Xenopus tropicalis: one gene and its partners. The protein of the gene in region 2 interacts with the protein of the main gene of each other region in a biochemical or structural test. Links are inferred from orthologs where the notes say so. Each region holds a gene or a part of one and is shown on either strand. Other genes may lie near its edges.

Region 1 (4,142 bases), on a different chromosome or scaffold from region 2:
GCTGAGCTGCGCAGAATCAGTGGCTTTTTTCATATGGCGTCACAGCTACAGACTTGTGTTAAAATAACAATAATAATTCTAACTGTTCTACTGGGGGAGTTGTGACGTACACTGGGACCAAAGTTGCCACATACCTTAACTCTGTATCAACTTGCAACTGACCTAGTCACAGTATGTAAGGGAAACTATGCCCCCTTTTTTACAAGAGCTTATTCAGTTGGGCTTATATAGAATGCACTCATGTCAAAAAGGGTTCTTCCATTTAAAAAATATGGAGATGCTTCATCTACCAGTAGCTCATTCCAAAGGACACAACAGCCCCCCTGAAGTTAAGAGGATATATAAACTTAACATGCATATTTGTATATTTCTCTCCCCTGAATTATTTATACTGCCAAATACATTAGTTTCAAGATACCTTTTTAACAAGTGAGAAAACAGAAGGTGACTGTTATTAATATTAGTATAATGTTGATCCAGGGACTGGTTGTTTTTTCCACTTCTAATGCAAATTAGAGGTAGGAGGCATTTTGCATCTACGTCTGTACGCCTGTGAGTCTTTGTATAACCTCTACAAATTCTGTATAGGAATACCAACAGGAAGGCAAGGTGCAAAGTGCAAAAACAGATGCAAACTTTCTTCCTACCTAAATGAGTTGCCACAAATTTGTGTAGCCACCCCCACAATTACAGCAATTGCCTGTATTCAGCAGCAGTGTGTTCATGAGGGGTGGAAGGGGAGAGGCGTGTTTGCATTTCCAGCCCCACCCTTAGCTTGCACTTCATTTAAACACGCAAGTTAAAAGAAATCTTTACCCCCAAGCAATGTAGGTCTTTATAAAAATATAAAATATAAAACAGCTCATATGTGAAACCCTGCTTTATATAAATAAACAATTTTCATAAAAAATATACTACTGGGTGATCCTAAATAGAAAACTACCATTTTAAGTATTAAGGGACACCACCTTTGCACGGTGCACACAAACAAGCTAAGGCACACATACATGTTAGGTCTTTGGGTTGGGTTTACTCCCACACTACTTCCTGTTACAGTTAGAGCTGTATTATTTCCTGTCAGCTGATCTGTGAGGGAGCACACAAGACTATTACAAAAAGGTGGCTCAAGATGTAAAAGGCCATTATCCCAGTTTGCTAATATTCTTTAAGCCTCTTTTAAGGCTAATTAATATGATATAAACTATCTGTTGATTAAGTATTGATCCTGAGGGTTTAGTTCTTCTTTAAAAAATGGCAGTGGAAGAAGGCCATAAAGGGGTCCTCTCTTTTACCACCTGCCCTACCATTATCCCAGTTTGCTAATAATCTTTAAGCCTCTTTTAAGGTTAATTAATATGAATATAATATAAACTATCTGTTGATTAAGTATTGATTCTGAGGGTTTAGTTCTTCTTAAAAAAAATGGCAGTGGAAGAAGGCCATAAAGGGGCCCTCTTTTTACCACCTGCCCTACCGAACATAGTAAGGACTGGGCTGGCCTATGCCCGCCAGTGCCATACTCGGTACCTCAAGCCATATTTTTATCTGATGCAAGGTGGTGAAGCTAGTTCCCTGGCAGAAATGTATTAACACTTATGGGTGCATTCTTAGTGATCTTGCATTCCTTGACTTTTTGCCCTTATAGATTTCTTGACGATAGCAGTCAAGCATTAGGGTATAAATTATTGTGCACAGAATTGCTTGCAATGGTAATTTCATACAAAACTGGAATCTTGCTTGTGTCACTCTCTTTAAACAAAAAACAGACTGCTATTTATAATTGGTGTGTGTGGTCCTTAAACCTACTCACAGGAGCAAAAGGAGATTAGCTAACAAAAATACTATTGGGTAGTACCCAAGGTACAAAGGATCAGCACCATCAGCAGTCTTCTACCATCTGTTCCTGCTGCTGTTGCCATATAAAATGTCTCCCAGGGGGTTTAGGCTAATGTAATACCTGGTATTTTATGGCTGTTACTTTACTTTTGGTTAGGGTTTTTTTACACCAAAACAAATTTTCCTGAGATTTATTATAGGACAAAACCAGGACAAATCCAAATGTAAAATGGCCTTCTGTAATTCAGCGCTTTTGGATAAAGGGTTTCTGGATAACAGATCCCATACCTGTACAATCCTTGGGTTATGGACCAGTTGTGGTATTTCTTATCTTTTTTTGTGGTATTTTCTTCTCTTGCCTTCAATGCAAAGTCACCAGGTATGATACTGTATTTTGCCACTATAAAGTAGAAGTTATATATGTGAAATTATGTTTGAGGTGCTTATTCACTTAGTAGCATCAATCAGAATGCCACATGTGCCATTAGTCTATGAGATATCCAGTGGATATCCAAGATAAACAGAAATACAGCAAAGCAGTGGAGAGCAAACAGGAGATCATCATAGAGGCTGTACCATGAGCTGTGCTGGGGGGAACTAACATGGAACAAACATCAGGTAACAATCATTTATCAGTTTACAGACTGTCCCTAGGGTTAAATGAAAGTTAAGAAAAGTTTCATGCCGCACTTCAGAACAACTATAGGTAACCATATTACCCCTTTCCAAAACTGTGCAGTGTAATCAGGAGTGCCATTCATTAGATGACTCAAACACTATTGTTTACTTAATTGTTTGGTCTGTACCACCTTTGACTTGTTGCCTTTCTCACACAAACGCTTTTGAATAAATAATAATACCCCCTGCCAGGTTAGAAAGAAAAATAAACTCTCTGTTACCTGCAAACCGCTGAACGAACTCCTACTGCTATGTCTACTCTCCGCTTCCAGCAAAGAACCAACCCGCGTAACTGCTTCATGCGCAGGCGCGCGTCGCCATAGCAACGGCTTACAGCCAAACGGATCGTTGCATGGGATTATGGGTAGACACGGCGGAAGGGATCATGATAAGGGGAGTCATTTTTGGTTTTTTGCCTTTATCACACATTAGCATTTTAATTACGTATTCACTTATATCGCAGCCTACTGACAAAAAGCGAGGAACATTGTAAATATTCGCTGGGGAGTTTTGCTCACTGGTGAGCAATTTCGACAGATGGGCTAGCCCATATGTGTTTCTATGGCGACAGGGACGCTAATGAATGCTGTGCCGGGATCTGAATTCGGATAATCCCATGGCGCAAAGGTAACAATCCATGCCAGACAGTCCGTAAGCAGCCAATAGCGATCACGTCATATATAACTGCAATGTGAGTGGTTAACATACGAAGGGAAAGTTGCAATGAATTTAAATCATGCTCATAATAGGTATTGACTAAGCAGCACCATGCAATCTGACAGAGTAGAAAAGTACCCACAGGAAGGACACGCATTATAATAAATACAAGTATTTAAATAGACAGCTACATAGATGATGAGAATGTAGAGAATGAAAAAAAAGTGCAGTAAGTGACGCAATAGGAAGGAGGTCCCTGGCCCATGGAGCTTACAGTCTAAGTAAGCTAATGCAGGTTATACACACCTGCACCAAACAGAGGTAAAATAATGCAAACAGGAACAGACATAATGGGAAAAGATGGAGCTTCTGGCAATACAGGAGGGCTGGGGCTCAGTTTTAGGGTGGGAAAATTGCAGGTTAACTCAGATGTTCAACCTGCAGCCATCCATTATATTACAACAACATTCCTACAGACTGGACATGCCTTAAAAAATAATAATATATATTATAATATATAATAATGGGTCCGCAATATCTGTATCCGTGTGTACTTTATAAAGGGCTCCCTCCAGTCCTTATTTAGTTGTGACTAGGGTTGCCTCTGGGCGAGGAGCAAGGCAGTGATGTTTGGGGGGGGGCAACGACATCAGGGGTAGGTGAGTGATGTTTGGGGCAGGTCATTGATCATAGGGGGGTGGGGCTATTATGTGGCTAAGGAAAAGTAGAAAAGTAGGCATCATTTAAATACAAATTTGAAACTCTGGTTACCAGGGTTGCCGCCTTTCCTCTTTAAAAATTACAGCCCCTTTGATATTTTCGGGGGGGGGGGGGGGGGGCCGTGAGAGGCACCACAGTGCTGTCAAATAGGAGGGGCTATGAAATAAAGGGAAGGGCAGCAAGCAGATCTGTTTTACCCAGAGGCCATAGTCCTGAAATAGGACCTATCCTTGAGAAACGGAGAGTAGTTA
Region 2 (3,565 bases):
TAGTCAGATTGGCGACATCAGCTCGTTCATATGGCCCCTGAACAGACTATATACTGCAGTTCTAATTCGGTCGGAATTAGCCTGAAATCACCCAATATCGCCCGCCTGTAGGTGGGGATATCGGGAGAAGATCCGCTCGCTTGGGAGATACTGCCCCTGACATGAGCTCCTCCATAGATTGGGGAAGATTTAGTTTAACCTAAGTCAGGAACTGGTACCTGTAAGCAAAGAAACAATCATGGTTTCCATTTAAATTTGTAACATTTTGGGCTAGCCAAGCCAGTAGTGCGTTTAGTTTAAATATACTGCAAAATATTCTAGCAGTGTTACTGTTTAATAAGCCAAGCATGTCCTCTTTTAGACAATTTTTAAAAGGACAGAAATCCACAAGTTCAAGAAATAGGGCTTGGCTGAAAACCTGTCTCCTCTTGATTTAATCATGAGCAATGCAGTGCACCATTGCAAGGTAGATTCCCTGAGCAGATAAGTGTCCAATAGAATTGAGTGGATTATCTGTTTTGGTAATCTAAGAACCATACTGAGCAAATTTTGCCCATTTTACCAGTTAAATATTAAAGAAAAATTTGTTCAGCAAAAGCTCTGTTAATAAAACTCATGTTGAAAAGTGGCTAGAGTCCCTTTTACACAACAGCAAGATCAGGGGACCATATACTTCAGACTGCATACTCTTGAATTTTTAGTGTGTGCGAGACAAACCTTATTGTTTTATCAAACCAACACATTCAAACTCCCAAGGGGCACCGATTAGTTTTATGGATAGTTTAAAAGTGAAGAGACCAACTTCCATAAACCGAGAAATGCCAATTGACTAATTTCCCAGTCTATCCTTTAAAGATCCTGCTAAATTCTCCCTTTTCATTCCATTAAAACTGCCCTGAACTAAAGTCTTACCTGCACAAATAATGGAATGGTGTTAAGACCTCTGATTACAATTCGGTTGTGGACATCACGAGCCAAAATGTGAAGGGCACCTGTGCAGCCTTCAACTATCTCTTCCATACGGACACCCTCCTGAAAGTGGAAATCAGAACTTGTAGGCAACCTTAAGCACACATGTATCTAAGTATAGGCAAGCTTGAAAGAATTACATACCACAAATTGCTGTTGTGTTCCACCCATTGAAGTGCGCCTCTGTGTGTCCTGGTGTGCACGAACAAGCAATTGCACAAGTCGAGGAATAGCACCCTGCTCGCGCAGTGGGGCATGATTGGCTGGACAAAGAGCAAGGTTGCGGATCAGGCCAACTGTAGCCTAAAAAAATTTAAAAAAAAAATGAAATAAGACTGAGGTACAGTGTAAACACGAGTTATAAATCACTGTTATATACTTGGCATGGGAATCCTTGCTGACAGTTTAGCTTTGTGGGGTAGTTCAGCTACTAGACATTTTTAGTTTTCAGACAAACTAATTTCTGATGTACTATTTTGTCAAAAGAAGGCATGAGGGGGAAAAAAAAAAAAAATAAATAAAAAAAACTTTCTAGGGACCAAGTCACTGAAACATTTTACTTGTTTTCAACCACTAGCCTTTTTTTGGTCACTGTAATGGTTATACCAAAGCCTATATGAGATGTTAACAAATAGCCGTTTAACACTTTACCACCATGTTATTTTGTAGTAATTTAGGAGACTTTGATACAGCCTTACACATTCTATACAGGATGCCAACAAGAGGTTAAAGACTAAGCTCAGTGATCTAGATTCACAATACTGCAACTCGAGTTTCAAATTTTCATTCGATTTGGTAACCGTACGTGGTCAGTTTTTAAATTTAAATTACAAATCCATTACCCAAAGCCTAAGAGAATCAGTGTGGTCAGATGTCAGTTCTTGCCAAAACAATTGCCATGATTACAAATTACCAGTTATGTGTTTATGAAGGCAGCATAAGCAGCAAAACTTACTGTAGGCTAAGAATGACTTTGATAAAGACCATGAGCATCACTGGTCTAGTTTATGTAATACAAGAATCTGAGGTTGAAGTATTGATCATGAGCTGAAGTTTAATTTTCCCCGTCAGACCATTAATAAAAACCAGACTGAACTCTGGAGTGAGCCATAGGGCACCCTATGTATAACCTACTTACCTTTATCAAAGGCCAGTGTGAAGGAGGGTGCAAGAGCTTCACCACCACTGGAAGCCCATAATGAAGACGTACTGCATTTTGAGCCATCTCTGCTTCCTGATGCCTACTGGTAAGGTGACGAAGTGCACAAATTGCAGGTTCAGTGATGTCTTCTCTATCCCCAGCACGTAGAACTGTGCGAACAAGGGCTTCAATGCCTCCAACTTGACAAACCATCATTTTGTTTTTGTAGTTGTTGCATGTAAGGTTGGACAGTATACCAGCTGCACAAGTTACTACATTAATGTCATCTGATCCAAGAAGCTGAACCAGGGTTCCAAGAAGACCTTCCATTCCCTCCTAAAATCAATACAGATATTTAGTAAAGTCACACTAAACAGTTAAACACTAGTGGCCTAAAGAAAAACATTAATAACCTGTTTAGTTGCGGCATCTGAAAGGTTTCTTAGAGTCCAAAGACAATTTTGAACAAGACGTTGGCTTGAGTCTGTAAGATGGAGTCCTAAAGCTTGCATTCCACCTAGATGGCAAACAGAAGACAGTCAATTAAGCTCAATCAGTACAAAGTTTTTCTGAAACTATACAGGGCTGCAGATTGTTAAGTCTGCACTGATGGAAGCTCGTGAGTTGTAGACTTAATTTTTCTAAGTTTCCACCCTTGATTTTGCCAACAGCATGGCATAGATTAAAGGATGCAATTCAGATGGTTTGAATAACAGTGAAAGGTAAGCTTACCAGCTTCAACTATAGCAGGCTTGTTGCTAGAGCACACAGATAACACTTTAAGCACCCGACTTGTGGTCCACAGAAGTTTCTCGTAACTGTAAGTCCTCATTATGTTTACCAAAGCTTGCGGTCCACCACTTGCAAGAATAATCAACTAAAAGCACAAAATATCCTATGAAGTTCATATACAAGCTGCATAACAAGCATTTATACAAAATTTTCCTTCATGCACTAAAGTGACTGGAGGGCAAAATACAGTGCATTTTTAAAACTGAAGGCATTTAAAACTGGCTAGTCTTATTTCTACACTGTTGACACTGAGAGCAAACCTTGCCATGACACATTGATATATTATATTTTGCTGTATTTTGGCAGATTTCCACAAGTGTCTTGTTTACAATGTTTCAAAGCATTATCTTTTACATTGGGGTAAGGCACAATGGTGACAAATCTTCCCCAATGCCTTCCCACTGGCAAAATTAATTGCTGGTGGAAACATACACTGCTTCTTTTACCAAGGAAGTGTCACAGATTTGGTCTACGCTTAGTCCTAAATTGGCTAAATACATACTACCAAATCTCAAAGTCAGTTGTGTATAGCACTAGAGATTAACTTCAATATCTGTAGATCAGTTTTAATCCATGAAAAACTCTACAAACCTTGCTTTCTTGATTTCCATAGGCCAATATTTGAAGACAGTCTGTTGTGATTGCCAAAAACTTGACATTTGT
Region 3 (4,144 bases), on a different chromosome or scaffold from region 2:
AAAAAAGGAGGTTTTGTAGATGTCCCTCTCAAACAATAGGATAAAATAGTACATAGAAACAAACTATGCTCTTCTTAAAAAGAGCCCCTTACAAAGGGAAAAAAAATAACCAGAAAACAAAAGTGCACCAAAATATTGATACCAAATTGAGACCAAAATATACCTTAGTGTGATATTGTTTAGGTTAGAAGACACACATTATAAAGTCAGCCTTCACAAAGGAAGCAAAGTGCCTCACCCAAGAACATGAAGCATACATTATTTTATTAGCTGTTAGTTTGACTTGCAATGATTCACCAAAACAGTTGATGATGATCCTCAGTGGTATCATTAAAAAAATTAACAGACACATTTGATGCACAAACTTCAAGTGGTATACAACAAAATAAGCTGCAATATTTCATGAGGTATGAGATATGAGATATGCAGAACACATAGAACAACCAATTATCACCAGTGCTTATGCTAAAACATAACACTTGCATGTATACTTAAAATAAATAGAATAAAAATAGATAGTAAATTATTTATCCCATGTTTAAACAATAGGTCCATCACAGACTAGTGGCACTGAAGCAGTCCATTACAAAGAACCTCCATGGAGATAGTCTGAATGAATTTTGCTTAGCTTTGCCAATTTGTCAGGAAGATGAAGGATAGGTAAGAATCCAAATCAATTTAGAGGTTAAGACATATCAGTGGGGGCATGGATGCTCCCAGTTGGCTCAGAGTGGTGCTGCAGAAGTGCATGATTCTTCCACAATAGACTTATTGTGTAAAAAACAAAAATGTGGCAGTGCATTATTCTCTTCAAAGTATTGAATATGCTTTTTAAAAAAAATCCAAGGCTGTGCTGGGCAGCCGGTGGCACTAAATATACTGAACTGTAGGATAGGAACCAATCAGCAGCTAGGTGGACCTGATCAGAAACTAACTCTGACTTTGCTTTGTGAAAGCAGGGCTGTAATTGGCTATGCCCACTACTACTGTGCTTCTGGAAGGGATAGTTAATATAAGCCCACTCCTCATTTAAAGCACAGAGAGGGACCATAGTGGATCTATGGGGAGCACCAATAAAGGGGTTAATTTTAAAGATAATAATGGAAGTTTTAATTATCCTATATGTCTTCTTTAACCAACTGCATGCCTGCAATCAGAGCAACAAACTATACCTTCTTTACATTGCGCTAATCAAACATTAAAACACAAGATCAGGGACACTGTTTCATATACAGGTACCTGTTATCCAGAATGCTGGGGACCTGGGGTTTTCTGGATAAGGGGTCTTTCTGTAATTTGGATCTCCATAACTTAAGTCTGTTAAAAACCATTTAAATATTGAATAAACCCAATAGGATTGTTTTGCCTCTAATAAGGATTAATTATATCTTAGTTGGGATCAAGTACAAGGTACTGTTTATTATTACAGAGAAAAAGGAAATCATTTTTTAAAAATTAGAATTATTTGCTTTTAATGGAGTCTATGGGAGATGGCCTTTCCATAATTTGGAACTTTCTGGATAACAGGTTTCCGGATAAGGGATTCCATACCTCTACAATATTTTTTAACAATATTAAAGATTTCTTCATGCACATGCACTTTATCAAATTGGCTTCTAGGCAAGTAAACCTACTACAGGCACAGATTGGCCACCCACACTGGTGAAGTAATTTTTTTAAAAAAAAGTTTTGCACTGGAGGCTATCCCAACAAGAACAAATATGGATCTGTCAATCCAACGATTTTGGGGAAATTGACACTCCAATGCAGGAGCTATGTTGCTACATCTTTAGACACTTAACACACAAATATGGCTCTGTCAAAATGATGGCAGCATTGATTGAGCACATTTAAAAAAAAGAATGGTTAGGGGAGGGGGTGTTTGTATTTAATCTGAAAATAGATACTTACCTGCCGTCTTTGTGTCATATCTATCTGCAACATCCATTTATTACAAGTGATTGCAGCCTTTGTTCTGCTTGTATTACCGTGTCAATGATGACTTTATAAGTGGGTTGGAACAGATACATTTATGAATTTATACACAATTATTGAAATTCCACTTACTCTCATTACAACTTTTCTTGTTATCCTACTCTGCAGTGCGCAGCAATTTTCCCTAGTTCTGACTAGTTTTTTCAATAAGCCTCCTAGTACAACGGGCAACTTTATTATAAATACGGATTAGGAGCAAGTTCTTATAAACTGGACCCTGTAACCCTGCTGTTTGATTACACAAGGCTTTTTTTGCTTGCTGTTGGTTGGAATATCAGAACAACTTGCCAGCAGTACATAAAGGTGATGATGGGCCAGACATTCCATGGATCATCAGTATAGCACATGGGAGCAGAGAAGCAATACATGGAGGAGCATGCATCTGAACTGATCACTATTCGGCCATGCAGTACGTCTTTGCTGCATGTGCAGTATTAGAAGGACGATATGGAAAGACATGTTCTGCTGCAGACTGAACACAATCCCAAAACACAACCCAGTTTAGCCAATCACTCCCCCTACACACACACAACTGGAGATGTTCATTCTGGAACATGAAAGTTGCTGACCTGTCTCCTTCAGGGCTGTGTCCCGGGCTGCTGCGGGGGGTGTTGGTCCTCCTCTCCTCGGGCTCCGGGGCTCCCTCTCTCTCCTGCTGCCACCTCTTGTCCGGGGAACTCATGCGAGACCCCCAATCTAAACCACAGCACTACTGCATACCGCCCAACACACCCGAATTTTTAAACACAGCCCGCAGTCCCAGATTGCTGCTTAAACGTCCCGCAACGCCGATAATACCCAGATTCCTGGCCCCTGCCGGACAGCTAATCCCGACGTCAAAAGTCTCATCTCGCGAGAGTGTGGCGTCACAGCTGACGTATAAGCGCAGTGACGCGGCACGTAGCCATTTGGGGAGTGACAGGGGACCTCAGTGTTGCGAAACCCCAAAGTGTTATTAACACGAGGTTGTTCGTTGAGTTCAGTGTATTTTTTCTTAGCTCCTACTTTTTTTTAACTCAGAACCTTTTCTTACAATTAGACCAATAAGGAAAGAGGACTTTGCGCAAAATAGGGCCAGATAAAATGAAGTCATGGTCTTATTTTTTGTACTGGGGATGTCAGTGTGTTTGGTAAACAACGGCCAGATTTTTCACCCAGTAGGAAAATTCAATGGGCGAGATTCACATGCAGTAATCTATAGTTTTTAGGCTCTTTATTCACCGCACCATCAGCATACCACAGTCATTTTGTGTAAGCAAGGTGTTGGTTTTTCACAATTCAAATTGAAATATAGAGTGTAAGCTCTACAGGGCAGGGACCTCCATCCTCTTGTGTCTTTAACTCTTAACTTATTGCAACTGTATCTTGTATTTATTGTTATACTTTGCATTTATCTATTATTATCTTAATAACTCTCTGTTTGTATTAATGTATTCTACTGTACAGCACTGCGTACATAAGTAGCGCTTTATGTATGTATATCTTTATTTATAAAGTGCTACTTACGTAGGTATCAATGTACAGTGGAATACATTAATACTAATGAGATTATTAAGATAATAATAGATAAATACAAAGTATAACGATAAATACAAGATACAGTTGCAATAAGTTAAGAGTCAAAGACACAAGAGGATGGAGGTCCCTGACCCGTAGAGCTTACAATCTATATGGGAGGGTAACTTACAGACACAAATAGGCAAATATAAGTGCTGTAGGTCACAGTGGGTGACACTACAATATAAGCTCTTTATAAATAAAGATATATATACAATTCAGGGACTGCGTGGTTAGGGTTGCCACCTGGCTGGTATTGTACTGGGCTGGTCGGTAAAAATGATGCTTAATGCCAATGTTATTAAAAGGAAAGAAATCTATAGGAAGGTCGTTATTTTTGTCCCGAAAAGGTGGCAACCCTATGCAAGGCTAATGCACTGGCCCCAACTGAAGTGTGCTGGCACAAAACTACTGTATATACTCGAGTATAAGCCTAGTTTTTCAGCACCCAAAATGTGCTGAAAAAGTCAGCCTCGGCTTATACTCGAGTCGGGTTCCATGGGTCCCTCCAGACTAGCACCCTCTGTCCTTTGTGTGCAAATTAGGCCCCCCGCAACCAGACCCTACAGTGCCTGTTGTTTTTGTTGACCCT

Evidence for each region.
Region 1: the proteins of ctnnb1 (region 2) and cby1 form a complex in vitro, tested with the Homo sapiens proteins (2 studies listed by BioGRID and IntAct). The link is inferred for Xenopus tropicalis from reciprocal best matches to the Homo sapiens genes CTNNB1 and CBY1.
Region 3: of the proteins of ctnnb1 (region 2) and ube3a, one has a biochemical effect on the other in vitro, tested with the Homo sapiens proteins (3 studies listed by BioGRID). The link is inferred for Xenopus tropicalis from reciprocal best matches to the Homo sapiens genes CTNNB1 and UBE3A.

The regions. Positions count from the first base shown.
Region 1 is NC_030680.2:120,460,964-120,465,105, forward strand, and holds the start of cby1 (protein chibby homolog 1), read right to left. Parts: upstream 2,855-4,142; 5' UTR 2,816-2,854; coding exon 2,736-2,815; intron 2,237-2,735; exon of another isoform or gene 2,125-2,236; intron 1-2,124. Other genes in the region: protein FAM227A, read left to right, coding at 3,098-3,141. UniProt on the Homo sapiens protein: Inhibits the Wnt/Wingless pathway by binding to CTNNB1/beta-catenin and inhibiting beta-catenin-mediated transcriptional activation through competition with TCF/LEF transcription factors.
Region 2 is NC_030682.2:53,371,250-53,374,814, reverse strand, and holds part of ctnnb1 (catenin beta-1), read right to left. Parts: coding exon 3,494-3,565; intron 2,988-3,493; coding exon 2,843-2,987; intron 2,628-2,842; coding exon 2,524-2,627; intron 2,447-2,523; coding exon 2,108-2,446; intron 1,273-2,107; coding exon 1,114-1,272; intron 1,033-1,113; coding exon 913-1,032; intron 1-912. UniProt on the Homo sapiens protein: Key downstream component of the canonical Wnt signaling pathway.
Region 3 is NC_030678.2:113,372,896-113,377,039, forward strand, and holds the start of ube3a (ubiquitin-protein ligase E3A), read right to left. Parts: upstream 2,855-4,144; 5' UTR 2,678-2,854; coding exon of another isoform or gene 2,565-2,677; intron 1-2,564. UniProt on the Homo sapiens protein: E3 ubiquitin-protein ligase which accepts ubiquitin from an E2 ubiquitin-conjugating enzyme in the form of a thioester and transfers it to its substrates.